Linked DNA regions of Coturnix japonica. The protein of the gene in region 1 purifies or fractionates together with the protein of each later gene. This does not show direct contact. Links are inferred from orthologs where the notes say so. Each region holds a gene or a part of one and is shown on either strand. Other genes may lie near its edges.

Region 1 (15,614 bases):
GGAATATTAAGAATAGAAAACTGAAGGAAGAAACCTGACTTAAAAAACAAAAACAAACAAACAAAAAAATCCATCTCTCTGTCAGATTGCTGATACACTCTTGTGCAATGGTGCTGTTTCATATATGTAGACAAACCTTCTTGCTGTTTAATTCTAGGCTGAAAAACAACCTTTTCTCTGAGTTTTCATTAGTTGAAGAAATGGAAATTAGGTACATTTTAAAAAAGTGGCCTAATGAAATAACAGCCTCAGTGGCCTGAAGACCAAGAATGACTTTTACAGAAAAGCTCTTTTTAAAAAAATAAAGTCCACTCTTTGTCAGTGCAGTGTTATTGAACTTTTTTATGTTTCTGTGGATCTAGAATAGTCAGTTGTTTGTTTCCATAAACGGTATAACTGAGTAGCAGATGTTTCCTTGGGCAGTTATTCAATATATCTAGGAAAAAAAAAAAAAATCTCTTTGCCTTCCAGATTTCTGACAGCTTTGTTTCCAGCTCCTGACTACTTTTCCCTGCTGAAATGTTCAACCTTTATAGCCGGCCTTCACAACAGGTGGGCTGTGGGTCTCTTGCAACTTGAAAAAACATTTGTTTGGCCCATCAGCAGCTGAGAAGCATCATGTACTGTTTGATTTGCTCAGCTGCCAAGAGGCAACAACAAGATGTCCAGCAGAAAATGCATATCTAGCTTGTCACTGATCCCTCAGAATGCATGTATCTCCTAGTCAGCCACCTGGTGAACCAGCAGACACATACCTCAAGTTCATACACATATGTTGTCATACCAGTCAAAGTGGAGTAGTAAGAAAGAATTGACATATTCACAAGTAATATCTGGGATGGGGGGTAGGTAATTGTATTTGGTTGAGAGGGAGAAAGAAAATGGAAAGATAATAATATGAGGGAAGCTGAAGCAATGTTGAACTGGGTCAGCAGAGAAGTAGGAATCACTTGGGAAAGTAAAATGTACTTCCATTCTGAGAACAACCTGAAAAATCCATTTGAGAATCCTGGCTCTCTAATAGATGCAAGCAACTTTTTGCTAGAAGTCCCATGCAATAATAAATGAGTAAAAACACATCCACAGAACTTACTAGGTGGCATTAAAAACGGAATAACTCATGAATAAATGTCAATTAAACCAAAATGCAAAATTTACAAGTTTATAGATAGATAGACAGATATATAGATAAATAGAGCTATTTACATTTTTACATCACGTACATTTCTTTTCTTGGGATTGATTCATTAAAACTGCAGAGAACATATGATTGTTGGTTTACACACAGAGGATGATGGCTAAACAGGAATGGACTTATGTTGGCCATCATAGTCAATATCATGAGCAAAATAAATGAAAAAAAAAGACTAAAGAAAAGACATTTTACTTAAATTGCTGCAGAGAGAACTGATCTCCCAAGAAAAGAAAGAGATGACAATACTGAAAAATATTTTTTAAATTATTAGCTAATTTGAAAGTAGTCTTGCACCAGAATATGATACCCGTCTGTAATTTGTAAACAGTATTAATCTTCTTTAAGTCTAAAAACAAACTCATAAAGTTGAAGATCTAGAAAAATTAGAACAACAAGCCCAGTGCAGGTGGACTTGTAAATAAAGAGAGAAAACAGAACTGGAGACTGAGACTGGTTGGACAAACTGACAGAAATAAGGCACTGGAAAACACTGTGAAAGGGAGCTAGTAATAAGAAATGGTTAGCTGACAGTAGCTGAGACCGAAGCTAGAGGACCATATGATTTGGATTAACTAGACAAGAACAGGACCAGTGGTTGAAAACAGATAGAAAGACATGTCACAGAACACAGTGCAACAAAATCATCTTCAGTTATCTGAGAAGTCTCTCTGAGGGAGAAATCTTGATAAGTGTATATGCGGCATAAAGACAGATATCTGGAGATGTCTGGATATTGCTTAAGAAGAGTATTAGGTACAAGAATTTAAGATAGGAAGTTGGAATTATGACTGGATATAAATAGAAATCTGGACAAGGATATTAGGACTGATTCAAAGGCAGGGCAGAGTCTGCGGAACAAATGAGAAGAAAAAAAAAAGCTTGATGGAGACACTGTTAAAAGAACTATATGTTGCAAGAAAAATGAAAGAAAAGATGAAATGCAATCCAAAGCTATCTTCATTTATCTCGAAGAATGCCTGTAAAACCCTCATGTCAAAATGGTCATTCCTTAGAGCAGTGTGGACTGCTCATAATCACGTATTACAGCTTACTGGTCACTTTGTTTGCTTTATCGCTGAGAAACTAAAGATTCAAGTCCTACTATATCCATCAGATATCATTTCACAATGAAACTTTTGACTCTCTAGTTTACCTGTGAAGAAGTAAACCCTAAGAAATGATCACCTATACTAATGGGACATTATTCAAAGGTAAAGCAAATCATTCAACTGTTAGGAAATTTTAAAATTAAGATTTAATATATTAAAGAAATTGAGATAATCTTTCATACCTCTTCTGTAAAGCATGATGTCTAGTGAGAAAAATATTGTATATAAATAATTATTTAAAGCATGAGAACACACTGAGTACTAGAGATAAAGAAAATATTGGATAGATATCCACTTATTCAACTCCATCCTTGTCCCCTGCACTGAATGAAGTACTGTGCAAAATACAGTATCTAATCACATAATTAAAGATTATATCACAATGCGTATACAAAGATGACAGAACAAAGGTGCGGAAGACAACCTTAATTCTACCACTTCCTAATTTTGGAATGCTTGACTTTACAGTCTTGATAATGGCCTTTTCCAATAAAAGTTTCTGATCTTATAAGAAATATAATCACATATTTAGACACGCTTTTGTCAAGATTTTTACATCAGAAATAGAACTGTGTACACAAGGCTCATGGAATGACTGAAAGTTCCTTTTCAATGTGGTAGTCCTTCAGATAGCTATCTTTCAAACACAAACATAGCAAGAAAGCATCAAAGACTATAATTTGCTGTGATTATTACACTGATTTTGCTTGTTGAAAAATAGATTAAACAAGTCTCAAACCAATGCAGAAAACAATTCAGGTTAGGTTTTCAGACAAATGACTGAAGCCGTTTCTAAGCAATTGTTATTAACATCTAGGGCAGCTGCAGGGCAGCATTTTCCTATTACTTAGGCAGCAAAATGTACCCTTTAGGTCCCTGGCATATGCAAAATTAAATCATAATTTCCTTTTCTTCATTTGTAGCCTTCACTGATCTTAAAAGTAATTTCAATAGAGGACTTTGCAGTCAGTATGTTGAGTTGCAGTAGCTCTCTTTCTGTGTTACAGGATCTCCTAAACATTTCCATTTCCTGACCTGTCCTTTCTAGGAGGGAGCAAGTACCTCTGTTTGTTTGCTAATGAGATAAAAAGTTTGAGAAAGGTCTGTGAATGGAGAAGAACAGATGGTCCTGGAAACTTTCCTGTGCATGGCAACTGAATGGCTTTTTCACATAAGGAACAAATAGTCTGAAGCCACTTAAAATTATACTTCACTGTATTCTTAATATCACCCTGCAGAAGAGGTGTAGAACTGGGAAAAAAACAATATGTGAAAGGACTTAGTAAAAGCTAATTTTGCTGTGGGATGAAGAGAGTAAAAAGAAAGGCTGATAATCTGCTACAAAGAGAAAGTATATCTGCAGAGAATAAGGATTTCACACATAAAATTTGACTGATGGACAAAGGGAACAAGGGCTAGAGGAGAGTTCATAGAAAGGGAAAAACTGAAATACTGGAATAGACAGGAGAAATTCAGAGAATATGCAAAAAAGGAAAGGATCTCCTGAGATATTTGGGAAAAACAAACAAACAAACAATCAAGAAACAACAATGGGAATTCTCATGGGAACTGAGCAGAGTAAGAAGAGGCTGTTAGAGAATGAGGGATTTGGCTTTACAAAAGCTGGAATAAGAGTATGCAGAATTTGAAAAAGGAAGCAGAAAAGCTATTGGATGAAGCACTCCATAGAAAATAGGAAATAAATGAAGAAGATATGCAAGACAGCAGAGACAGAGAATCTGGTTAAGCTTCCTGCTATTATCAGAACAGTTTTGGGAAGAAAGCACTGAAATGGAAGAATTTGGGAAAAGGAAAACGTGAAAGAGACACCACACTAAAGAAATGGTCAGTGGAGAAGACAGTGTAAAGCAGAACTTTTTTAGATGAGTTTAGACAATACATAAAGAGAGCTGTGATTAAATAGAATAAAGACTACAAATGTGTAGTATTTGGGAGGGAAATCACTAGGACATGGAAAAATGAATGTGGAATTTATACAGGAAAAGAAAAAAAATAATGTTGGCAAAAAATACAGGACAGTTAAGCAGATGGGGAAGAAAAGAATCAGTGGGGAAAAAAAGGAAAGTGGGAAAAAAAAGGAAAGTAAGAACAGCAGTAAATGTCATTGTTCTAAGTGCTTAGTAAGAGGTCTGGTAACAAAACAGTACATAAAAGTAAACATTATCTTTGTCTGGTACCTTTTTGTGTGGGATGAGGGGATCTTGGGAAACCGGATTGGGAGCTAGGCATAGGCATCTAGTGAACCTACAATATGTATGGAGAAGAGGACAATCTGCTTTATTATAAATTTAAACAAAAGCAAGAAAGAAAACATTTAAACCTAGTGTCTAAACCAGTTCCCAATAACTTAGTATCTGCATCTGTTAAAAATATCTATGTACATTTGGACTTACATTTGAGTTATTTATTATGATTACTCCTCAGTATTTTATGGATAGTTCAGCAAGATGTTGGCTATCCGATATTAAAAAAACAAAACAAAAAAATCAAATCAAAACAAAACAAAGTAAAACCTAGAAAAAATATAATATCTGTTATTGCTTCTTTCTACAGACACAAACTCCTTTTTTCTGAATATCATTCTCTTTTTACAAGTCTCTATATGAACTAAAAGTGAATTTGAACACATTGGAAGGTGATACAGGATGAAAAATAGAACATACCCCATTTATTGATAAATGTAATTACCTTTTACACTTAAATTAGTCCTATCCCTTGCAAACAAAAGTGACCATTACAATACTTACATTAAATATAGATCTAAATCAGCAAGAATCTTTTTATTTATAATAAAGAGTAGATAAAATCTTTATTTTAAAATTCTATTCTCTTTGCCTAATACTTTCTCAAATGCTGAAATTATACTTGATATTTCAATTATTTTACATCCCCACAGAACGCTGCTGCTATATTTGCTTGTTCAGTTAAAGAACTGCAAAGCATGCTTAATACAGTAAGTTGAAAAAAATGTATCATGATTATGCATAAAACTGTTATTACCCCATATATGCTTTGATACAGGAAGATATAAACACAGGTATTTTAGTGGAGCAAGAAAGGCATATAAATACTTCCCTAGTGAGCATATTTTTCCAGAACCTGAAAGCATGAATTAAATATTATATTCTTTATTAGAGAATATACTGTGTATTCTATGGAATAATCCTTCTTTTGCATACAGAAGTAAATATCATTATTAGATAAAATGTAAAGAAATAACTGAAAATTTCAAAAAATAGAAGGACATGTTCTTGGTTATCTCTGTGAGAGTTAAAAAAAATCACACACTGGAGGAAAGATTTTGTACAATTTTGCAACTAAATTCTCCAAAGAGTCCATTTGTAGTGAGCATGCTTTATCCTGGAACTGAATGAAGCTCCTTCACTGAAACTGTCTATCCTCATTTGTGCAAGCAATCATTATGCTAAATATTGAAATAGCAACATAGAAACTGTCTTTCCTTTTCTCTCAATTATTCTCTTGCTGATACTAAGGAAGATTTGGAAGAGGAAACAGAATGTCTACAGAGGAGTTAGGAATGTGAGCCTGATGGGGAGGCATGAGAAACAGAATCAATACTGAAAGACTTTTTACCAAACAGGAAAGGCTGTTAACAGGGAATGTTAGTGGAGTGCAGACTCTAAAAACCACTGGACAAAAGAGGAAGGCAACAAAAAGGGTCACATAAGGGAGAAAGATTTTGCAATAGAAGAAATAATTAGGGTGGCGTGAAACTTAGTTCAGAAGAGAATGGTGGAAGAATGCGTTCATCGGTAATGGAAAATTAGTGGAGGGGGGAGAAGAAGTGTTGAGACAGGACAGTGAGAACAGCCACTACAAAAGCTGAAATTAGAATGAGGAGAAAGAAAGAAGGAGGAACTGGGACATGGAGATACAGGACTAACAGGGATACATGCTAATGGGAACACAGAGAAAAGGGAAAGGGAATTCTCCTTCTTGTAGTGGAAATGAATACAAAGAGTCCTGACACTCACTATTACTCCTCTGTTAATAACTATTTCTGAAACTGTCACTCCACAAAAAATTGATCCACAAAGACAACAAACTCCTTCAATTACATACTGTGTTGTAAATCTACATCCCAATGATAGACCTAGATTTTCCAAAATCTGATATAATGATTAAACTGAATATATTGAAAAATACATCGAAAAAAATAAAAAAATACATTTAAAAAAACAAAACAAAACAAAAAAAAACACCACAAAAAAAAATTATTTAAATTGTACATTAAAACTGGAAAGCAAAGACAGGAAATGTCAGAACTAAGGCTGCCTATGCAGTAAGTATGATCCAATACCATGATCATCACGGTTCAGTCTGTAACTAAACAACCATCAGTATTATTTTATGGGGTTTATTATTTATTTTCCTCATACAATCTTGGACAGATGAGTCAAGATTAAGTCATCATTATTGAGAATGTTGTCTCTAAGACCTTGGTTTCACTTGTTTTGTAAATGTACATGTACAAAATGAGCATAACAGGAGAATAGCTTGGTTAAAACACAGAAATGCTCTTCCTTTGTAGTCTGGGATAAATCCTTTAGAATACCCACATCCAAAATACTCTGTAATTATGTGTTCTCATCTTCTGAATATCTCAGCTCATAAAGGAAACTGAATTCAATAGGAACAGGATTTGAACACAGTGAACACATAAAACAATTTGTCACCTCAGTCTTCCTCTGATTCCCAAGTTTCAATGGGAATACTTCAAACTCTGCTTCCTTGCAGGAATAGTCTGAAGATAAATAAATTAGTGTTCGCAAGGAACTCAGTTACCTCAGATGTATTTTCTCCAAAGAAATATCTCCAAAGAAAAGCTTGTCTGTGCACCAAACAAAATAACAAAATGTATGTTTTGTAGCAAATGAGCATGTTGGTTGTATTCTCATTAGAAGGATGTATCAAATGGTGTTTTTAGTTAGGCATACATTCAGTCAAAGGAGAAGCAGGATTCTGTAACAATAATGTCACATCTACCTACTTCCCAGGCAACATTCAAACTGACATATTTCAACTTCTGAGCTATTAGCTTTGTAGACAGAACACACAATTTAAATCTAAATGTTTTTGTTTGTCCCACAGATTTTTTGTATATGCTCAATACCTTTAAAGACTGTTGACATCTTATTTTGTTGTTATGGCCTCCTTGTGGCACACTAGTAACAATACTTTAGAAGTCAGTAAAAGTGATTAAATAACACACAGATTATGTCAAATGATACTGTTAAGATGATTGACTTCAAAATGCAAAGTTAAGGCAATTGAGTGTGATTACTGGTGCTAACCATTTTAGGCTTGCCGCCTTTGTAAAAAAGCACGTTCATTTACACTTGAAAACAAATGCTGTTTCTGCTGTTTAGTATTCATGTAGGTAGAATTAGATTGTTGACTAGAGAGGACATTATAACACAAATGCTATCTTAAAAATTTGTTCCTTACTAATATCGTGGTGCTTGCAATATATATACATTCAGATTCACAGGGGAAGTAATAAGGCTCTCTTTAGTATTTCATGTACAAATTTACTCAGCAGATTTGTTTTATTAAACTGTAAATAATGGGATGTGGTAAATGAAAAATCCAGGAAGTGAATAAACAGTTTATTCATCATTAATGCTCACAGTAGCTTATTGAAACACACCTTTCAGGAACTGCCACTGAATATTAGCTATGAAATTCTCATCTTGCCTTGAATGTTACCCATTTGTATAGTTGAAAGGCTCAAATTGTTTTAAATCAGCCTTTAAAAAAAAGTTATCCTAAATGTTATATATTCACAAAAACTGCATTTTGCATGCCTGAGATTAAAGCCTATATTGCTTCAAATTAATTATTCTTCTTTAATTGCAGAAGATAAACAGAAATGACCTATTAATTTAAAGAAAATCTATCGCCACTGAATATATTCTCTCCTATAAAGCAAGATGAACTTGACCTTGTTTGAACTTGTTTTGATGTGGCCCAGATGGTAGGCTACATGCTTGAATAGCATTCTAAAGCTGAGGAAAAACTCATATAGCAAGATCTAGATTTATAGCCTTTTGCAAATTCTTACCTTGTATTGTCCTTTCAGCATCTGTTCTGCCCCCACTGCGGTCAGCTTCTATCTCTGGGGTCAGAGAGTCTAGAAGCATAGAAAGGTAAGACTGACACATATTTCATTTGATTCTTATGGCCCTTTTTACAACCTGTTACTCTAAAGCTGAATTACAATACAATCAACCTTTGTCAGTTTTTTTTAATGTTGAACAATGACTAGAGGCCAGAACAATTTTTTGTTAGACTAGGGAGATTAATGAGCAATAGATTTTTCAAGCATAAAGGTAGGAAGAAAAAGAAGGAGAAAAAAAAAACCAAACCTACGACTTCTCAAGCTAATAATATAAAATAGGCCTAGTTGGGGCATTCTTTCCATGAATTTATTTGCACGTGCTATATAAAGTAACAAAGCAAAAAAGAGAGAGGCATCCCTTGAACAAAAGAAAGAAGAGAGATTTTCCTTTTTTCCCTCTCCCACCATGTTATAGATTTCATACTAACAAGGTTCTTTAGACACTTAAATTGAAAATTAATGACACAGAAGCAAAAGCTGGCTTCTTACCATTTAGGACCCTGAGACTATCTGTTGAAGCTGCTTGTTTCAGTGTCTGTTCTGCTTGCTCCCGTCGTTTAGTCTCAAACTCAAGTGCTTCCTGCAATTTCCTCTTTGCCTTCTTTTCCTTCTTTAACCTTTTCTGAATTATTGCTAGAAGGAAGAAAATCAGTGTACTCAAATTCAGATCTGAAACTTGGCCATGGAATTATGTATTAAGGGTTCCAAGAAACAATACAACTGTAACAGTCCACATAAATTGTGTAATTACACACTATCTATTTAAGCTACCTGAAATTTGCTGGATTCACAGATATTTAAAGAGCCACTTTGCCATGCTGTTTCTTTTAATAAACAGACAAGGATTTGTGAAAGTGTAAGTTGGAAAATCTTGGAACTTATTCCAAATCCTTTATATTAGAAACAAATGGACAGTGCCAGATCCCCAAGCCAAATAATTATTACTTCGCTTTCTCGAATGTAAGGGAAAAGATTAGGAAAGTAATAAATAACAATTCAGTGCAGAAAACCCTTACTTAGAAAATGTTGTTCCTGCTTCTTGTTCACATTCTACAAAGGAAATGGTTGCAGGAATAGGATGTAAATGAATCATATAAGATGATAGGTTTTAAAGAAAATCCATCATGATTTTCTGTTTTATGTTTCCAGACAGTTCCTTCCAAATTAGAACTAAAATAAAACTTGTATGTTCCCTGACTGAAGGAGCATATCAGAGATTATGTCCTCATTGGAAAAGAGTATTGTGAACACTTTTTTTTCCTACTCAGTGAAAGTGATCCACTAAATAAATCATACAAAGTTGTAGATTACACTGTTATCTACTCAACCACACTCCAACCATAGTGTTTTCAGAAACACTCTTGTAAGAGGCTCATTTACTGTAAGATCTACCTGGATAATCCTTTTCTAGAGAATCTGTTATTTTTACACTAACTACAGAAATACCATTACCAAAACCAGATACTAGGTGATACTAGACTTGACTATTAAGTTTTATCTATCTGACTCTTTAACCTTCTCCAAATTAACCACTTGTATCTGGTGTAGTGAGAAATATTGGAAAGGTTCAAAATACGTGCCTATCAGTTCACAGTCTCCATTTTCAATAGTCATAGCTGCAACTTTCACAGAATGCAAATCATTAAATTTTTAAAGAGATCCATCATGATTACTTCTATTTAATGTATATGCTAAGTAAGATCTTTTTGAGCAGTCTTAGATTTATTTATTTTTTCTGTGTTGCTGTACAGAACTGTTTACACACAAAATATGTCTATTACATTAGCGCAAACCCTCTAGTGAGTATAGCTACATCATTAACATGCAAGACTTTGGAATTCTGGCACTTTCTCATTTTGTATAGTGAAACTACTTTCTAGGCATACTATCTTACACTATCAAAGAACAGCTAGTATCTTTACAAATGCTAAACTAAATACATTTTGAATCATTGCACCATTTTAATGTTTTCATTATAAGTACTTTGAAAGTGATTGCAATAAATGAGAAGGAAACATATGTTGCTTTCCAAATTAAAATGTCATCATGGCTGACACATTGTAGATGTGACTACAGCAGTCAGAGCCAGAATTAGCAAGCCCTTACTGTGTAGCTGCTCACAGAAGAGAGATTATCCTACTTTCACTGGTTGATGAGACACATCCTACAGCCTTAGGAATCACTAATTGGAATATTTACAAAGAAGGAAGGAAACAATACAGTAAATAAGCAGCACTGTAGAATACACAGTAGCAGCGGTGGATTTAATGTTCCCCAAAATGACAGTAAATAAATAAATAAATAATAATAATAATAAATCAGATATCCTGCCTGTAGAGATTTTTGACTTGTGTTAACATGACTAGCAAAAGATAGGCATTGATACTGGTTGCCTAATGCTGAAGATCCCATTTGCCTAATGGGCTTTGACCTGCATATGACGGTGTACATATATTTCTGTGCTGCAGCTTTTTAAGGGTATTTCAGCCTTTTCTTACAGAATATTTCTTAAGAGGGATGTAGTATGCTTATCCCATCCTGCTCATGCTTCTATTAAGATGTGAGACTTTCTTTCAGACATGACATTTGGTACTGGTTAAAACTAATGTAAGGCAAAGCCTCCAATGTGCGTTTCAGTCTTTCATTGAAGGATAAATTCCCAAAGTAATCACAAAGTCTTATTTTTTCTCTCCTACTTGGCTTTCTTCATTGTAAAGAATAATATGTTATTTTTACTTTCTTTTGTATGGAAGCATCCACTACCGAAGACAGTCATCCTCATTACATTTGCTTTACTACATTACACTGTTAAGTGCTCATATCCATTCCTCTTTGGTTTGACTCTTTTGCCAGTGCGATATTGTCATTAGAAAGATACATACAAAAGAAGCAGATAATGTATAGTGCAGAAAATAACACTCTCAATTATTTCACTATCCTAACAAAAATAAAGGACTAACACATGCTTTTTCTTGAAATACAACTTAGAGCAAAATGCATTTCACCTAATTTTACCTGCTGAAACTCTAAGTGTCTAGTCCAGCTTAGTCAGTGATATTCTTTCCAGTGCTAATGGGAAGAGAGAGTTATTCACAGTGTAATTGACCTCACCTACCTGTCTCAGAACAGGATGTAGGAATCACTTGATTGAAAGAAAGGGAATTTATGTTATTAGCTTGAATTATGCACTTAATTTCTACATGGCAAAACTCAAAGTCAGATGAGTACCCACCTATAATGTTTCTGCTGTGTGTATTGTTGCCTAACTCTAAAAAATGGATAAAGGCAGAGTAAGATAAATAATATACAGGAAACCATAGAATCACAGAATCACTCAGTTGGAAAAGACCTTAAAGATCATCAGGTCCAACCATGACCTAACCATACTACCCTAACAGCACTTGTGAAATCATGTCCCTGAGCACCACAACCAAATGGTTTTTAAACACATCCAGTGGTGGTGACTCAACCACCTCCCTGGGGAGCCTATTCCAGTGCTTAACAACCCTTTCTGTAAAAAAATGCAGATATCCAACCTAAACTTACCCTGGCACAACCCTGGCAACTTCCCTTCATCCTGTCACCCGTCACCAGTAAGAAGAGACCAACCCTGCTCTCACTGTAAGCACCTTTCAGATATTGGAAGAGTGCAATAAGGTCTCCCGTCAGCCTCCTTTTCCCCAGACTAAACAGCCCCAGTTCCTTCAGTCTCTCCTCATAGGTCATATTCTTCAAGCACTTCACAAGCCTTTCTGCCCTTCTTTGGACCTCCTCTAGCACCTCAGTGTCCCTTCCATACTGAGGTGCCCAAAACTGGACACATTACTTGAGATGAGGCCTCACCAACGCTGTGTACAGGGGCAGGATGACTTCCCTAGTCCTGCTCATCACACCATTCCTGATACAAGCCAGGATGCCATTGGCCTTTTTGGCCACCTGGACACACTGTTGACTCATATTCAGCCGATTGTCCATCAGTACACCAAAGTCTCTTTCCATCAGGCAGCTTTCTAGCCACTCCTCCCCAGGCCTGTAGGGTTGCCTGGGGTTGTTGTGACCAAAATGCAGGACCTGACACTTGGCCCTACTGAAACTCATACAGTTTACCTTGGCCCATCGATCCAGTCTATCCAGGTCCCTCTGTAGTGCCTTTCTCCCCTCTGGCAGATCAACACTACCTCCCAACTTTGTGCTGTCTGCAAACTTACCGAGGGCGCACTCAATCCCATCATCAAGATAGTTAATAAAGATGTTAAATAGAAGCGGTCCTAGTACTGAGCCCTGGGGGACACCACTCATGACCACCCTCCAACTGGATTTAACTCCATTGACCACAACTCTTTGGGCCCGGGCATTCAGCCAGTGTTTCACTGAGTGAAGTGTATGCCCATCCAAACCATGGGCAGTCAGCTTTTCCACAAGGAGAAATCATTAAGAAATGTTCAATATTAATATGCTTTACACTGGGATCTTTCTCAAAGAGAACCTTAGCTATCTGTTCCTTCTATAAACATATTTGACCTACTGCATTACAAAAGGCTTACATATTACTATTAACTTCGTATTTTATTATGTACAGATTGCCTAAATATGCAGTATATGACTCTATCACATAGGAAAAGAAATGAATTCATAACACCTCGAAGAGAATAAAATTTCATAAAGTTGTGTTTGCTTTAAGTAGCTATCCTTTTTCATAATGGTTGCATCCTGCTGAAGTCCATAACTGCACTTGCTGTGTTTACATTTGTACTGTGTATTACTGATATGTTGTAATAAGTTATATTCAAGACAAATGCAGAAAACAAACAAACAAAAAAAAAAACAAAACCGAAGGTGCTTGCACTAAATTTCATGCAGAACCTACGGAAAATTAGTATCAGGCAGACTGAAAAACTTCCTGCATTGTAGTCAGCCTGCACATAACAGGAGTACTGGAGAAATATTTTGACGAAACACAAATGCTTGAAAAAAAATTAGGTTTCCTAAGGAAAAAAATTACAAGGTATTTATGTTTGCTTTATTAAGATACCTCTATTTTTCTGCTCCACAGCCAACTGTTTTTCAAGTGTTTCCCTCAGTTCTCGTTCCCTGAAGAGCTCCATCTTCAGTTCTGTCTTTTCCAGTTGGACTTGTTTCTCTTGAGCTCTGGCATTGTCTATAGCAACCTTTAGTAGACCCTGTTCAGAAAAAAACAAACACCCAAAACTTGGACATTGTAATGTTTGAGGAATATTACAACAGATGGCATAATAAACAACTGACATTATTTATCTCTGATTAGTCATATGAAATTTTACAAATGAAATAATCCTGTTACTGGTTCAGAGTTTCCCAGTTATCAAGAGCAAATTTTAACTGGAGTGAATTTTACCAAGTGGACAAAAAATCTTTATAAAAGCAGCATCAAGTTTTTACAGAAGATGCATGATGATCTTTAAATACATGTAAAACTAATATTAGAAAGTTATAGGGATAGGTTTATTCTTCATGGAAGATAAAATATATATGTATATATAAGTGTATATAAACCACTTGCAAGTGACTACAAAAAGAGCTGTCCTACTGACAATGAGTTGTCAGTCTCATTATTTATCACCTTAAGAATGGCAAATTCAGTCTTTAGTCCAGCTCCTTATTGTTCAATATTACTACATTCAATATTGTTTCCAAGGAAGATTAAGTTGTTAAGATGTTAAGCAGAGGACACTCACAAAGCAAGAAGATCTTTCTGTCTTTAAAAGTACTTTACTGATCTTGTACAATTGTTATCTCATAACAGATGGCAAAACACAGCGATCTCTTAATTTCTTGACTTGGTATGTTTGGGGAAAAATTCTACATTTTTGTGGTTATTGCATCAGAAAATAATTACTCAGCCTAATTTCTTTTTTTTCTTGAGGACTTTAATTCAACAGTTCCTTCTTTTTTTGCAAAGAAACAGACAGATCTTGGCATAACTAATTAATAGATAATTAGGACACTGATATAAAATAAAGAGGAGGGGAAACAGGGTTGAAAGAAATAAATATAGGAAGAGTAAAGAATTCCATATTCCAGAATTCTGGCCATTGGGCTCTTGGCTCCACACTTTTATCTCTTTCATGTAAAGCTATCATAATAGAGAAGATAATTAAGCATGGCTAGGCATATATGAACCTGCATGGACAAGAACTTAACTCTTCTATATCCAAGGCAAGTCTCCTGACAGTCATAGATCTATTTTGACCCAAGAGGGATTTGCTGATATGAAGCAAACCAATGCCAACAAGACAGACTGAAGAAGTTGCTGGTAGTTATTTTAGGAAAGTTAAAAGATATAAAGTTTATATTCAAGACCCTGTTTCAGAGCTGCATACTACAGACACAAAATTATGTTCTCCAAGTCATAAGTTCCCTCACCATTTAAGCACATTTCCTAAATTAAATTCCGAGTTTTAACCCTACCCCAAACCCAAACCCAAACCCAAACCCAAACCACCATTATGATACTTGAAAATGGAAAAAAAAGTACTTTCTTGAGTGTTAGCAAGCACTTTTCTCTTGTTAGCCTTCCTAATGTCAATGCCTACCATTGAAATTTGCATCCTTCCACCTCTTCTTTCAAGTCTGTTCTTATCCTCACTCTTCCTCACTCTTAACTAAATTGTTGTCTTAAGTGTTGTCTCACTAAAAATGTAATTCTCTGTAGTTTCATTATACTTCAATGCATTGAAGTCCACAGCAGCTGAAAGAACTCAAAACTTTCCAACTGCAAGGACCATGTGCAATGAAAGGGATACCACAGCTAGATCAGGATGCCCAGGGCCTTATCCAGCCTCACCTTGAATGTCTCCAGGGATGGGACATCAACCACATTTCTGGGAAGCCTGTTCCAGTGCCTCATCACCCTCACTGTGAAATACTTCTTCCTTATATCCAACCTAAATCTACCCTCTGTAAGCCTGAAGCCATTGCCTCTTGTTCTGTCACCACAGACACTCACTGCTAAAGAGTTTGTCCCCTTTTTTTCTGTACCTTCCCTTTAGAGGTTGACAGGCTGCTCTCAGGTCACCTCACAGCCTTGACCTGGCTGAACAGCCCCAGCTCCCTCAGCCTTTCCTCACAGGAGAGGTGTTCCATCCCTTGGATCATTTTTGTGGCCCTT
Region 2 (15,614 bases), on another chromosome or scaffold:
CAGTTCTTCTGCTTTTTCTCCACTGGCACACAGAAAATAAAATTACTTCCCATTATACTTGCGAGGTGACATTAAAGAGGTGAATGTATTTTTGCTTCACCTTGTAAATTCTTTTGGTTGCCATGAATTGGATATATATTCCCAACCACTAATGTTACAGGGTTAGGTGGGTGCATTGCAGGCCAAGAACATAAATGTGAAATACACTACTATTCTTATTAATATTAATAAAATCATCCAAGTCTGAAATTGGCTATCATTGAATTGACCTCAGATCTTTGACACAAATGCCTATTTGAAGCACTTGGCAACACGCTGTACGCATCCACACCCAAAGTATCTTTGCCCAGGCTTGCAGATTTGCCAGCCACACATCTTTTCCTACACTGACTGTAAGGAATGCAATGGCTGGAAAACATCAGCACCAAACATGCCTATATAGAATAAGGCTACGTTGTACCATTAGCTCTTACAATACGTGTGCTTAACCTCTCTCATGTGACTCACCTGAGTCCACAGCCTTAGCAGAAGTCTCTGCAAGTACGTGCACATTACAGCTGGTACCCAGAGCTCTAAATGCCATGCAGTCCTTTCTGGAATATCTTTCTAGTTATGTTCCCTGAAAAAAAAAACAAACCAGCTGAATTTCAATTAGCAGCCATCACAGCCCCCAGGCCTTTGCTTTATTGTTGTCCTTTTATCCTCAAAATTTTCCTTGATCTCATGAGCTTGTTTCTAATATATTCCAATATTATGGCTTTTTATATGTTTCATATGTTCTCAACAGACTGTGTAAACAGTCCTGCGAGCTGACCAACGTGTCTGCCAAATGCACTGCCTGCTGTTCATGCAGTATTTCCTCCAGCATATGCGTGAGCTGTGCTCCTGAAGCCACTGTAAATAAGATGAACTCAGGTAAGGATCAATATTACCTGGACAGAATTTTCCATCTCTGCCTCCTGTCTGACATGAGGGAAGTTACAGGTACTGCTGTGTCAGTGACTGCACACGATTTTTTACTGAAGAAAAGAGGCAGTAAGTGCAATTTTCAGCATGTGAAGTGGCCTGATTCTTCTCCTGCAGAAGCCCTGAGAAGCTGCTGTGGACAAGACCAGGACATGTCCACTTCAGGTGGGGACAGGGTTGCCTGCTCCAGTGGGGAGCAGCTATAAAGTCAGTGTGTGATATGTCAGCTGTGCTCAGAGATCGAGCTGCTTATTATTCATCAGATGAGATTGAGGAAGAGTAGTTGTTTGGCAGCATCTCCCCCACAGCTGAAGTCTTTAACTCTGCTTGTGTTTCCAGGTACTGCCCTACCTTTCCTCCTATGTGCCCTTTCCTCCCTGCAGTGTCTGCCTTAGCTGTTTGGCAACCCTAACTGCTCCCTCACCATGACTCCAACTCAAATGACTGTCATCCAGAGGGAATGTTTCCATTTGAATGACATGAGCAGGCACTAGTAAACTTCCCCACAGGCTCTGCCACTATAATCCCTGGGAAGGAGCAACCTGCAGGACCTACTTTCACTGTTCAATGCTTTCTCTGTTTATTGCCACCATAGTCAGAACCAAAAACATCACTCAAATTCACATCGGAGTCCTTACATCTGTCAGCCACCAACCACTGGTGATAGTCAGCAACAGAAACTCGGTGTCCATACAAGCCTGAACTCGTAGGTTAGGGAAGGGGAGCTTGATTTCTCATTGGAAATTCCTATGCTCTGTGGTGCTCTATACAAGGCATTTTTGGTGTCATGCTGACTTGCTTCCTTTCCTTCTCCTGTTGCAAGCACTGCTTTATCCCAGGTTACCAGGAGCCTACTGTTCCAACAGCTGCTAAGGCAGAGTGAGGTGTCAACTTGACAAGATGCCAGATTGCTCATTAATTAAAAAGCCAGGCATTTTTTATCCATTCTCAGGCACTAATAAAAAAATAAAATATTTTACCAACAGCTCCCAATAGTTAAATCTGGTTAAATCTGGTTATTCTGAGGTATTTGGTCACAACTAGCAGACATAAGTCAATGCATTTTGTTGCTCCTGCTTACTTTAATAAAGGTTTATCAAAATACCATAATGCCAGAAAGCTCGTTTCTTTTCTGCACAGTGAAAACGTGCCTTGGTTGTATCTGAAAAAACGCACACTTCTGTTGGGATCTTTGTCCTCAAACACAGTAAATATCTTTTCAAAGGTGCTCATCTGCCTCCCCAGCACTCAGCTTTGCATGCTTCTATTTGTATGTTAATTTTGTTCATACTGTTAGCCCACAGCCCAGCGCTGCCGTCTGCTTCCCATATGCCACATGCCCTCAGTGCCTCCTGCACAGCTCACCTTCCAACTCACTTCACTCTTTGGGCTCCCACTGCAGATCAGCTGCCTTTCTGCCAGCCTCGATCATGTGCTGGGGATTGTTTAAGTGTAAGATCCACAGGATAGGAACTTTGCCCAACTCTCCATTTCTCAGAACACTGGATATGCTGTGGCATAGAAATAATGAATGCAGAGGCATTAACAGTGCGATGCTTTGATTTGTTATGCCCTAAAATTCCAAGGGAAGCAATACCCTGGGGTCTCTTCATCTCTAAATAATGTAACTAGCCAGGTTTTTCATCAAAAATTATGCAAATAGAGCTGTTGAAATAACAAAAAGAAGTTCATTTATCATCTGAAAATGTATTTCTGAGTAACTGCAGTGATAACTCAGTGCCTCCATAAAGCCAACAAGGAATGGGAAAAAAAGTACCTTTAGAGACAATCATATTACATCTTTCACTCACGTTTTGCTTCACATGAAGCATCCAAGGTTTGAAATGCTCCCAACAGTATTCTTAATAAAATGGAAAAACAACAACAAGTGTTTTTAGTGGTTCCTCCCTCACTTCTATACTCTCTCTGTTTACATCCTGCATTGCTGTCCTGCCCCCGAGGTAACCCAACAGGTCTTGCAAAGACTCCTAACTTTGCCCCACCTCCATCATTCACAATCTTGTCTCTGTAACCTACTCATTTTCCTCCATTCCACAAAGTAGTAGTTTCAAAGAAATTCAGAGATTAATTAAAATGATTGGTGGGATGAGTAGGTGAGGGGGACAGGCTAAAGGGCTTGACAAGAAAGATGAAAAGGACTAAACGCATGTAGCTTGGTTAAGCGATGACTAATTGAGGGTGGAGGAGATGGACACGATATTCATTTACAAGTGCTTGTAGTTCCGAGGAACCCTTTTCATGGGCAAATGCTAACTCAGGACCGAGTGCTCTGTCTTGTCTTACAGATCTGGTTTCAGGGTTCTTCACATCAAGCTCAGACACCTCCTGTGTGTTCACAGCTTTCCCTCGGACCCCCAAAGGTGACTATTTGGATTCAGCTCTCAGCCACACGCAGTTCCTGGATCCCCACGAGGCCACGTGAGCCCTGGTGAGGGCAAAGAGCAGAAGGAGCGGCCGTGGGGCCGGAAGCCGGGGGTGGACGATGTGGCGGCTCTGCCACACCTCTTGTACTGCAGGCTGAGGTGGAGTTGAACTGGCCCTGAGAACACACCTTGAGGAACACCTGGGAATTAGTTTTACTTCCACTTACCCCAAGGAAACTCAGCTCACCGTGCCCTCGCACCCCTGGCCTCTTTCACCACGCTCTGATATGAAAATAAAAGAAATACACTTGTTCCTTTTGACCCGGCCAACTCTCCCCTCCCTCAGCAGGGCTGACGTGCTCTATAGCAGCTCATCACAAAGGGAAGCTGAGAAGGTCTGTGGATTCTCAGTCTTACATCATGCGGAGGTGAAGCAGGATTCACGTTGGAAAGCACAAAGGGGTCAAAAGCAAACAAATTCATAAGAATAACACAAGAACTCCTCTAATGTTGATTCTATGACATCTAAGCTTAAAAACCACAAATACCCTGCGTGCAAGCAAGCACTCTCCTTCTGTGAGCACCACTTCCAATATAGAAACAGTAGAAACCTAACATTTCTTCTTTCTAATGATCCAGAAATAAGCTAAAAGCACTTGTGATACAGGCCCGAAACAAACCACTCAACCTATTTATTCCTGGACACCAAATATAATTTAGATGGATGGAGTATGTATAAGAAATTTTAATTTGTCTCTGAAAAGCCATTTAATTATTCAGATGATCTGATTGCCTCAGTCAATCTCGTATTGATCTATTAGAGAACTTTATAAATCAAAACCTGCATTATGCTGGTCAGAGAATCTGTCTTTCACAGCAACAGAGATATGCAGCTAATTTCCAGTCCCTACCCACAGGTTAGTTTATTGGGACATGTAAATGGCCACGGTTTATAAATGGGCCGGTGTTTTCATTCTGCTAAAGGAGCATTTGCTTAAGGACATCGAGAAAGAGGGGAAAGCCCTCAAGTAATAGCTGCTGAACAGAGCAGAGCGCAGCCCCAAGCTCCCAGCCATGGAGGACTGCTGTCACTGCACGCACCAACCAGGCCGTTCCTGCTGAGCAGCGCTCAATGACTCGGGTGGGAGCCCAGCACTGTGTGCTGAGAGCTGAGCTGAGATCCCAGCCCATGGCCAAGCACCCGCTTGGCAGCCATCCCCTGCTGGGATCAGAACGCTGAAATCCCCTCAGAGCAGCAAAGAGCGTCGGGCTTGGGTTTCAGAGCTCTCCTGCTACGCACAACCTTTATGGGCAAGTTGGCTGCCTATTACCAGCCTCGACCAGGTAACCTTTAAGTGAGCAGTAATTAACGTAATGAGTGGACTGATGGGTGTCCCCCATAGCTATGGGCCTCAGTAGCAACACGTCTCTGGCAAACTGGAATGTCTAGTCCTAAACTGCACCTTTGTAAAAGGAAGGAAGTAAAAAAAGAACTAAAATGGGCTGGGGATAAAAAAAGAACAAAGAAATGAAATGACTTGGAATGAATATCTCCAGCCTAATCCAACATTCACTGAGGGCAATGAAAATCCTGCATCCACCCAGGTGGGGTGATGTGGACGGGCTGTAAGGGGCTGCTGACCAGGCCGAGGGGTTAAAGCTACACCGACCTGATATACAGACTGAATGTGGCTTTCTAGGATAAAACAGATGGACGACACTCCGACAAATTAAATATGTCAACAGTTAATTGGAACAACCTTTGTCAGGGTTATTTGTTTATACAGAAAACTGACTAAAGGAAAAGTCTTGTAACGGCTTCCTACGCAACAAAAACCACACGTATAAAAACCTTTAGGTTTAAAAACCATTTTAAAATAAAAACCTCCAGCAAAACGCTTCAAATTCATGTCTTCCCTTTCTCCAGAATTTCTTCTTTGCATAGACAAGCCCTTTACACGTCTCAAAATGGCGTGCTGACACAACACAGCCGGATCATTTACAGACTAAGTGGGAGTGCGGGCACAGCAAGAACACCAGGACGGCCCCAAGCAGACACCCCGTAGTCGCCAAGGCTGGATACCTGAGGCACATAGAAGCAGGGCACACACGCAGAGGTTTTGCCCTGGGATGCTCCCCCAGACAAGTCATTTGCAGCTTTAGGATTTCCAGAGCCAGAGATCGGCTGCACTCAACAGCCCTTGAGAGATTTCTCTCCTGTGACTTCATCTAATCACTTTTAAATCCTTCCTTCTGCACAGCACCCTCTTGCCAAGGTGTTCCACGGCAAACAGCTCTGCAAAGCAATTTCCCTCATTCATTCTGAGCCCTCCATCTGCCAGTTTTGCTCAGTGTACCTCAACTCCTGTGCCAGGAGTCGGGCTGTGGCCTCTATTTATCTTGTGTGTAAAGCTTAGGATGGAGCTAGGAAGCTGCTTCTAACACAGACGACTTTCAGAGGCTTTCCTATACACATGCAGTAACTGCTGCTGGAGCTACAGAGGCAGCTGGAATTACCTGCACACAGGTGCTCATTGCCTACCTGAAGGCTGTGCACACACCTGCAGCAAACACTAAGGCCCACATTTGTGGGCAAACTAATTCACTTGACTGTTAGCACAAACATGCACAGGTATTGGCTGTGTGATTCCAGCACATGGGTGAAGTGGATACACTGAGTGCAGCCAGGTGTGCACAGCAGGGAGGACCGGGAGATGACTCTATAAAAGGAGCAGTAACTTCTATCAGTCAGTGCATCCAGACATTCACTTTTAATTCACAGCTCTTTTTGATTCTGTTTATTACATTGCTCCCTCCCGTACTTTAAGTGCTAATTATGTTATTACATCTAGAAGAAAAAAAATAGCACTTAAGAGTTTTAAAGTGCATTTTCAAACCGAGACTTAAGTTTGTCAGCTTCGTATGTCACACAAAGCGATGGAGCCCAGCAGCGAAGCAGCAGCGGCAGCACTTGTTGCCCCGGGTTCCCGTCCCGTCCATCAGCCGAGCTGCGAGTCCCCGGTAGCTGTGGAGCAGCACAAACCTCCCTCCCCGACCGGATCCCTCCATCTCCAGCCGTTCCCCTTGGCCAAGCTGCGCTCACACACTAATACCAGCACAGCTCTACAACCGGGAGGACAACTTTAGGAAAACCCATCCAGAGCCAGGCTCCTTCCCGGCAGCTTTTTCCCCTCTCATACTTTGGGGAGCTCCCGGCCCTGGGAACAGACACAGCGCTCACCGCAGCGGCTGAAGGCAGGCGGGGCTGAGGGCAGCCGGGCCGCCCGTCCCCGCCCGCCGGGGCTCCCCGGGACGGGAGGAGACGAGGCCGAGCCGCCCCCACCCCAGCGCCGCCCGCCCTGCGCTGTGCCCCCGTGCGGGGCGGGGGCGGCCCCGGCGCTGTGCGCGCCCGCCCCGGCCCTGCCTGGAAGCGGCGGGGGCAGCGAGGCGGGGAAATCACGTGAGGGCTCCCCCGGAGCGCCACCTTCAGGGCCGTACCAACAACGGGACCGGGGGGGGGGAGGAGGCGGCGATGCGGCGGGACTCAACGCGACGTGGAACGGAGGAGCGCGGCCCGGCCCCGCCGCACGCAGCATCTCGGCCCCGAGCGCAGCACAACGCACGGGCTGAGGGCGCGGGGCGGCTCGGGGCGGCATCGCGGTGCCCCGGTACCCGGTAGGGCAGCGGTTGGTTGGTACGAGGCCGTCGAGCCGCCCAACCCCGCTCGGAGCTCGGGCCGCGGTAACCAGATATTCAAAAACAAGACGTCAGCCCACAATGCCCCGCGCCGCCGGCAGCATTACCTCATCCCACAAGGCCCCGCGCCGGCGCTGAGAAGCTTCTAGGGGCGGGGTGTCCATGGCGACCGGCTGCCATGCACCGCGCCGGGCCAGCGCCACGCCTCCCCCGGGACGGGCGGCGGCAGCCAATGGGGAGCGCGCGGGGTGACATCATGGGCTATTTTTAGCGGGCTCCCGGTCGCTGATAAGTGAAGGGCTGCACGGAGCGAGCGGGCTCAGAGCGGGGCGGGCGGCAGCGAGAATCAGCCGCCACAGCGGGCACGGCCGAGCGGAGCGCGGAGCCGGGAGGTACAAGCGGCAACGGCGGCAGGAGCGGCCCGGCCCGGCACAGCGCGGAGAGGCGGCCCGGGGAGCAGCACAGCGCACAGAGTACAGAGTACAGCGTACAGCGCACAGCGCACAGCGTAGGCCCGGCGGGCCCGGCCCGCGCCGGGAGGAGCGGCGTTGTCCCGGCGAGAAGTAAGGAAGGCTCCGGCTTGCTCTTTCCCCCCAAGCCGCTTGGCCGGGAGCGGTGTGGGGCGGCTCCCGGCGCCACTTTTTGGGCTCTGTTCTATGAGTGCAAAGATGGAGCCTACTTTCTACGAGGATGCACTGAACGCCAGCTTCGCGCCGCCGGAGAGCGGCGGTTATGGATATAATAACGCCAAGGTGCTGAAGCAGAGCATGACGCTGAACCTGTCCGACCCGGCCAGCAGCCTGAAGCCGCACCTGCGGAACAAGAACGCCGACATCCTCACCTCCCCCGACGTGGGGCTGCTGAAATTGGCCTCCCCGGAGCTGGAGCGGCTCATCATCCAGTCCAGCAACGGGTTAATCACCACCACGCCGACCCCGACGCAGTTCCTGTGCCCCAAGAACGTTACCGACGAACAAGAGGGGTTTGCCGAAGGCTTCGTGAGAGCGCTGGCGGAACTGCACAACCAGAACACGCTGCCCAGCGTCACCTCGGCCGCGCAACCTGTTAGCGGTGGCATGGCACCTGTGTCCTCCATGGCCGGCGGCGGCAGCTTCAACACGAGTTTGCACAGCGAGCCCCCGGTGTACGCCAACCTCAGCAACTTCAACCCCAACGCGCTCAATTCCGCACCCAACTACAATGCCAACGGCATGGGCTACGCGCCGCAGCATCACATAAACCCCCAGATGCCAGTGCAGCATCCCAGGCTTCAGGCTCTGAAAGAAGAGCCTCAGACTGTACCTGAAATGCCGGGGGAAACCCCTCCCCTGTCCCCTATTGACATGGAGTCGCAGGAGAGAATCAAAGCCGAGAGAAAACGCATGAGAAACAGAATCGCGGCGTCCAAATGCCGGAAAAGGAAGTTGGAAAGGATTGCCAGGTTGGAAGAAAAAGTGAAAACTTTGAAAGCCCAGAACTCAGAGCTGGCATCCACTGCCAACATGCTCAGAGAACAGGTTGCACAGCTTAAGCAGAAGGTCATGAACCATGTCAACAGCGGGTGCCAGCTAATGCTAACACAACAGTTGCAAACGTTTTGAAGAGACTGACTTCAATAGGAACTGTGATGTTGTGGTATAACTAAACGACAAACCAAAAGCGGCGGACGCGTAAAGCTCACGGTAGAAGCTGGGAGGCTGTGAGTCCTGCCTGCGTGCTGCAAAGCACATGTGTGCAAAGACTGGGCAGCCTTCAGCTCGAGTTGGTGAAGCAGCCGGCACCGCTCCGAGGTGCTGATCCTGCTCCCATGAGGCGACAGATCTTCGTTTAACATTGACCAAGACCTGCATGGACCTAACATTCGATGATCATTCAGTATTAAAGGTTAAACTGCAATAGAAACTGTAGATTGCTTCATGTAGTATTCCTTAAGAAACAAACAAACAAACAAAAAGCGGGAGGGAGGTTTGTGGGAGGCTGATAAACAACCAAGAACTGTTGTTCCTGCCTTCAAGTAAATGGTGTATGTACATATCCTTTTTTATTTTATTTTATGAAAGTTGATTAATGTCAATAAACTACTTCATGACTTTGTAAGTTATTTTTATGTTGTTTATTTGGGTACTGCCCAGTATTGTTTGTAAATAAGAGGCTTTTTTTTAGCACTCTGAGTTTACCATTTGTAATAAAGTATAATTTTTTTAATGTTTCTGTTTCTGGAAAAAATCTAGAAGGTTCTATTATATTTAAAAAAAAATAAAATACTTAAAATGCATTTCCTCCTCACACCTTTTTCATTATTATTATTATTATTATTATTGCTAGTATGTGAGTTAGGAAAATGCCCTTAATGCTGGACTCTAAAGGGCAGGGATTATGTGAAACTCGCTCTGTAAGTGCAGGCATGTCCTGGAGAACGTGTGAGGAGGAGACGGGGGGAACCAGATCCTGAGCACTGAGCAAACAGAACTTTTTGAGTTGTCTGGGAGTTCCAGTTCCTAACCTTAACCTGGGAGGTTATTGTGTGTTGTAGTGGCCCTGCTGGGGCGGCTGACTTTGGCTTTAGGCAGGCTCTAGAGATGGTAGAAAGCCGGTGTGTGAAACTGCTTTGCACTTGTATCTGGCTGCTTGTGCTCTTGCATGCTTTTTATTAAGCCAATGCCCTCGAGCAGGATCAGGCAAGGGGCTGTTTGCTTTCCTTTGCAACAAAAGTGCTCTAGACTTCAAAAGTAGAAATATTCACCTTCGTTCCTATGCAGTCTTTCTGCAGTGAAAGGTGATCCTTGTTAATATCTGAAAATGCTGTTGTCAGTGGAAAAAAACTTTTTATCTCTGAAATCCTTTTGGCTGTTACTGCAGGTTCTGAACTCTTTAGCAATAGGAAAACTGGGAAAACAACGTAGCAGGAAGTGAAAAGACATGAGAGCAACTCTCCTGGCACTTCCCGTGTCTTTTTAATGTAATCTTGTTTCTTAGCACAGCAATGTAAACATCTACTTTAGAGACATGCTGCTCAGCTGGTGGGGGGAATGATTTTGATATGATTCTGATAGCACCCTTCTCAACATGTGGCACCCAATTCATTCTCTTCAATAACTGTGTATATGAGGAGAGAGCAGATGTTCTGTTTGATGCCGATGGCCAAACAGCAAGGAGCAGAAACTATTACAGACTAACTAGAGTGCAATAACATCAGTACGTTTGTAGACAGTCCTGATCCATATTTTAAGGGCAAAAAGGTAGAAGTTTCTCTGCAGTGACTGCCATGTGTAAGGTCACATCACAGAATGACAAGAGCAGACCACTAATGTCAGCATAGCGATACTCTGAAACTTCCAACTGATGTGCATCCAAAGATCAGTTCCTCATAGGAAGCACAGAACTTAGCTTTCTTCTGACTTTTTTTTTCCCTGCCCAAATTGTATGGAGTTAATGACACGAAGGGTTGTCCTGATGTGTAAAATGTGATACTGTGGCAGAATCCTACATCGTAATCCAAGCATGGAGGCCGGTGCTGTTTAGATGCTGTTTGCTGCTGTCAGAGGAATACTCTTGTAACAACACCAACCAAACAAAGGGTTACTAGGAGGATACTGTAGTTTGCCAAGAGCACATTTTGCTGATGTCAGCAACCCGGAAGGTAAGTTGATTTTGACCATATGTAGGAACAGACAGCAGAGGGATAATACACAGCACTGCTGGGTGTGGTTTTACAGGGATTTAAGCAAGTGCCAACTAGCAAAATAAGCAGGGCAAGGAGATTAATTACCTGCAAAGGTGCCTGTTTAACTCTCCATAGTGCTGGGTTATGGAATAGATGTTACTAGCAAGCATTTTGCTTAATCACCTAATTACGCAAAAAATAAATACATTATATAAAATACTATGTTAATTAAACACAGCTGAGTGACAGTCTGCTCCACCCTATGCTAATACATGCACACAGACATTTAGCGCTGCAGTTACAAGTTTTCTCTCTCCAGTTCCACATTCTGAAGCACTGGCAGAAAAAAGAAGTTCCTGAGTAAGAGCAGTGCTGGTTCAGCGGGCAAACTGAGTTACCTGCCCAGGCCCAGCCCAGGAGGCGGCGTGGCTGTCAGTGCCAGTCACACAGGTTCACAAGGAGACAAGGGGGGATGGAGCACAAATCCTTTCTTATATCCCACGTCTCATTCGAGGATTGAGCCTGATGTGGGACGGAGTAAGTTGATATTACCTCCACCTCCGCCTGTTTTGTAAACAACGTGGTGGGATGTGAGCCTGTCTCTGTCTGGTGTGCTTCAGAATAGATGAATGCTCAGCACTCTTAGCGTATTACCAGATCACTTGGTGATCAATAAGCCTGATTGTAATGAAAGACATGCACGCATTTATATGTGGTGAAATGCAAAGTTTTAACACCTACTTAACTTGAGATTAAAATTGCCTCATGCTTTGTGTGCCTTATTTCTATAAGGAAAAGTCCGTTTTCTTTGAGATTTAGAAACACTTTTTGTTGCCCCAGCTGTACTCACAAGGGAATATTTTGCAAATAACAGCATTGTGAGCATGTATTTTGTTTGGCTGTGAGTGCTGTCAACGGATTCAGGAAGTGAAGTCAGAAAAAGGCAGGGTTTCAAACGGGGCAGGCTATGCCGAAATGCCTAGGCAAAGAGCCTCTAATCAGAACAACATGTTTGGGTTACAGAAATATTAATTAGAACTTGGGTCTGGACAAAAACAACCAACTCCTCACACTTCTATCCCATGAACTGAAGTGAGCTGCAAAGAGGACTGTATAATCTTAAATCCAAAGTACTTGTCACTACAGAAATAATAGTAGCCATCCAACTTACTCTAGTGGAAAAGAGTTATGTGGCAGCCAGTTTTAATCTCAGGACACTGTAGCAGTCATTGACATAGTCCTTCATCGTTGAGTTGCTCAGTTCTCTGCAGGTCAAAAACTACTGACCTCAAAATACAGCCCTTCAGTCCCAGCGTGCATTCAGGCAGCGTGTACCCACTTAAGGATGAAGGTGAGATGCCACAACTTCCTTTATTCTATAGGAACCTGTCATGATATACAGACACTATTCCTCTAAACCTCTGTGGAAACTAGACTGACAGTTTTGCCCCATGCAAAGCCTTAGGAATCCATTAAGATAATTGCTTTCTTAAAAAATAAATAAGCCTTTCAATAAAGTACGTTGCTGCATACGCACTAATGATCTTATCCTCCCAACTGCAAAGGAAGCAAAGAATCTAATTTGCAGGCAGCCAGGTTAGTTGTACAGCAGGCTTACATCACGTATCTAGCACCATGCAGCACATGCAGAGGCTGCACAGTGCAGAGTGAATCCTGAACCAGCAGCAAAACTGGCAGGTGTGTCCAGCTGGATGAGCACAGCACTCTGCCCACTGAATAACCTGAGCCAGGCTCCAGGTTTATTAGCTGGGCAGCGTTACTGAGCAGCCTGCGAAGGCGGGTGGACCGGCTCAGGCCAGAGCAAGCTTGGGCATCGTGGAGTACTTACACCATGGAGCGAGGTGCGAGGTGACCAGAAGCACATGGCAGAACTGAAAAACCAGAGCATTTATCTTTAATACCAAGTGAATGCCTTCTCTGCTTTTCATCTCTTCCTAGCCCTGAGACAGGTATAACAGTGTAGATTTACCAACAAGTAGAAACTAAAACCCTAAAGCCAGTTCAGGCAAAGTTTGCTCTATTTAAAGGAAAAAAAAAGTTGCAAACAACACAAGTGAATGCAAAACACTGGTAATGAGCAGAGGAAGGAATAATCTTTGAAATTACTGCATACACAAATCCATTATGAAATGTAATACATCTTATTAGCAGTGGGACAGGGAGAGGGAAGATGGCATTAATGTTCTTACTGAAGAAAAGGAAAAGGCAGGTGGGTTGCACTGTGGGAAGGTGATCATCCCAGAGATGGGCTTGTTTCTTCCAGCTGCACACAGTGCCAGCAGCAGCGCCTGCACCCCAGGGGGGAGGCCATCCCAGTTCCACACGTACGTATCATTGCTGACATCAACAGCAGAATAAATTCTCTGAGCAGAGCTCGTGCTTCCTACAAAGAGAACTTGTAAAAAGTCATCACCTAGTTACCAACTAGGTTCCTTCCATCCTTAAATATTCCAAAGCACTACAGAGTTGCAAAGGGGAAAAAACTTCTGAAAAAGTTAACTAAATATTGAAAGCAACAATGACTTTCTCAGCTATGGAGTAACAGCAGTAATTTTGTGTTTTGAGCCTTGAATTCTCCAGGCAGTTTCTATGTTAATTCCATAAAAATTTGCTAGAAACTCCTCCAAACTGACCTCTATTGTCTTTCAAATTTAAAAGAATTCCTGTGAAACCTGGCAGCATAATACCAAAGATGTGGGAAATGGGACGCAGCTCCAGCAGATGGAGCTCACAAGCAAACAGTGCAGGAACACACTGCAAGGAGGTTTGCAGCACGGAGCTCTTGTGTAGATGGTGTAGCAGCCAGAAAACACTGCTGCTCTCCCTGTGCAAACTCTGGTTGTTGTTTAGTTTTTACCTTGAGAAGTGAAATAGGGAAAGTTCCTCTTGAAACAAAGCCACAACACTTATGGGTCAGGATTTATTGTTTAACTTCTGACAGTGAGTTTTCTAGGTTAGGAGACACCATGAGCTCTCTTCGGACTTAACAGAAATGTGCATACATCAGAGATGTGGGCTGCTCTGGTTCTTTAACTGAAAGGCATCTGGTTAGATAGGCCGAAACCTGGGTCTGATTTACCCCATTAGAAAAAGGAGGCCTTTCCTTCTACTGAGCAGAAAAGTTTGTAGCCATCATGTGTTAGTGATGAATGAACTTCCGTAAACTAAATGTTATTCTACTGCACCATGCACCAAAAGTACACCACTTCCCCCTATACAAACAGCAAGGTATCCCTAAACATTAACTGTTCAAAACTCCTTGCAAGAAGTAATTAACAAGATTCATTACAAGCCCTCCCTTGGTATGTCTGGGCCTCAGTCAAGATATGATCCTTATCACACTAAATAATCACACAGAGTCTGACCCAAATACCTAAAGGGGAGAAAAGGAACTGAGATTCTCAATGCCAAATGCATCTCTCGTTTGGATCTGCTGTCATTCAGTTTGCCAGTTCTCCTTGTTTTCTGACTGAAGGAGACCATTTCTAAACATGAACATTCCAGTTATTTAAGTGCTTTTATTCTCAGAAACAAAACCAACAAGCTATATGAAGCTATACATGAAGCATGGCTGACTTTGGGACTGACGGTACAAGAGTTTACAGTCAGCCTGCAACAAGATTGGTGAGCAGAGCAAGCCCTTGGCAAGTTAACAGCAGAGTTTCCTTCTTTAAATGACAGAAAATAAACAGAATTCAGTGGTCTTTGTCCAGTTTCCTTCTCCTTTAAGCAGAGATTTTCTAACCCATATCTTTCCAGTGCAGCCCTGCAGGAAGCAGTCCATCTTTATCTAACTTCCCACTACATTGGTTCTCAGGGCTGTGAAAAAGAGACCACCATTCAACTCTGCAGATGTAGCTGGGCTGGTCGTATTTCAGCTTGGTTAGAAACTTGTGCATTATATTTACCACTTGTGCCCCCCCCAGTGCAGCTAAAGGTACCGTATTTAGGGAATCACCCCTAACTGAGCTTCACAACTACACACAGCTTTTACTTCCAGGTACTTTTGCAAAAGTAACAATGAAGTTGACCGGTTTGGTTCTTTTTTGCCCACGAGTGACCAAAAACCAGCACAGATCAAAAGCTGCTGGGTAGAAACAGCAGTTCTGGAAATCAGAGCACTGATAAATACCAGGAAGAAAACATGGTTCAAAAATCAGATTCCCTTCTTGTGTTGAGAAACAGGGATCGCTGGCAGATCTCCAAACTATGGGAGACTGAGACGGAACTCTTACATTCATTCTTCCCAACTTCCATTATACTGCAAAAATGCCCAAGCAAATCTTGCAGCAGTTTTATAACTTAATTTTAATTCACACATTTGGTTAAACAAGCTCAACTTCCCATATGGATAAAGCTATAAAACATGGTTTGACTTTCACAGAGAACAATTGTCATGCACCCATTAACTTGACTTGAGAACTGAGTCCTTTAGTAGCTTATGAAACTGCTTCTTGTGAGATGACTAACTTTATGCATATATATTTAAAATTATTTCAGAGGGCAGCGAGGTTATTATTCTAAGTCTTATAAATGGAATTCCTTGCACATGCTACACATGTTGGCTTCCACGTCTGTTTCGAATTTACATACAAAATAGATCAGCACACCCAAAACTTGTTACAAGCTATTTCCCCGGCCCCCTCTGTTCACTGTTTATCATTCTTACATGCAGAAATTGCTTCTGTGTTTTTCACTGCACAGGAAATGCCAGGCTGGCAATATGAGAAAGTCTCGCTTTTTAGCTTAATGTCAATTGTTCTTTCTTCCACGGTTACGTGCCTGTGGGCTGGATGTGGCATCTGGGTTCATGGAATGCTCTTACTCTCAGCATGGTATCTACTTGCAAAGCCAGTTACTTCTCCAATTGAGTTCCAAAAGGT

What was found.
Region 2: the proteins of DACH1 (region 1) and JUN purify together in Homo sapiens (affinity purification with western blotting; 3 studies listed by BioGRID and IntAct, with this or other methods). This does not show direct contact. The link is inferred for Coturnix japonica from reciprocal best matches to the Homo sapiens genes DACH1 and JUN.

The regions. Positions count from the first base shown.
Region 1 is NC_029516.1:140,890,852-140,906,465, reverse strand, and holds part of DACH1 (dachshund homolog 1), read right to left. Parts: intron 13,648-15,614; coding exon 13,500-13,647; intron 9,101-13,499; coding exon 8,957-9,100; intron 8,480-8,956; coding exon 8,411-8,479; intron 4,570-8,410; coding exon of another isoform or gene 4,547-4,569; exon of another isoform or gene 4,503-4,546; intron 437-4,502; exon of another isoform or gene 1-436. UniProt on the Homo sapiens protein: Transcription factor that is involved in regulation of organogenesis. Seems to be a regulator of SIX1, SIX6 and probably SIX5.
Region 2 is NC_029523.1:23,593,345-23,608,958, reverse strand, and holds JUN (transcription factor AP-1), read left to right. Parts: upstream 1-7,178; 5' UTR 7,179-7,702; coding exon 7,703-8,647; 3' UTR 8,648-9,272; downstream 9,273-15,614. UniProt on the Homo sapiens protein: Transcription factor that recognizes and binds to the AP-1 consensus motif 5'-TGA[GC]TCA-3'.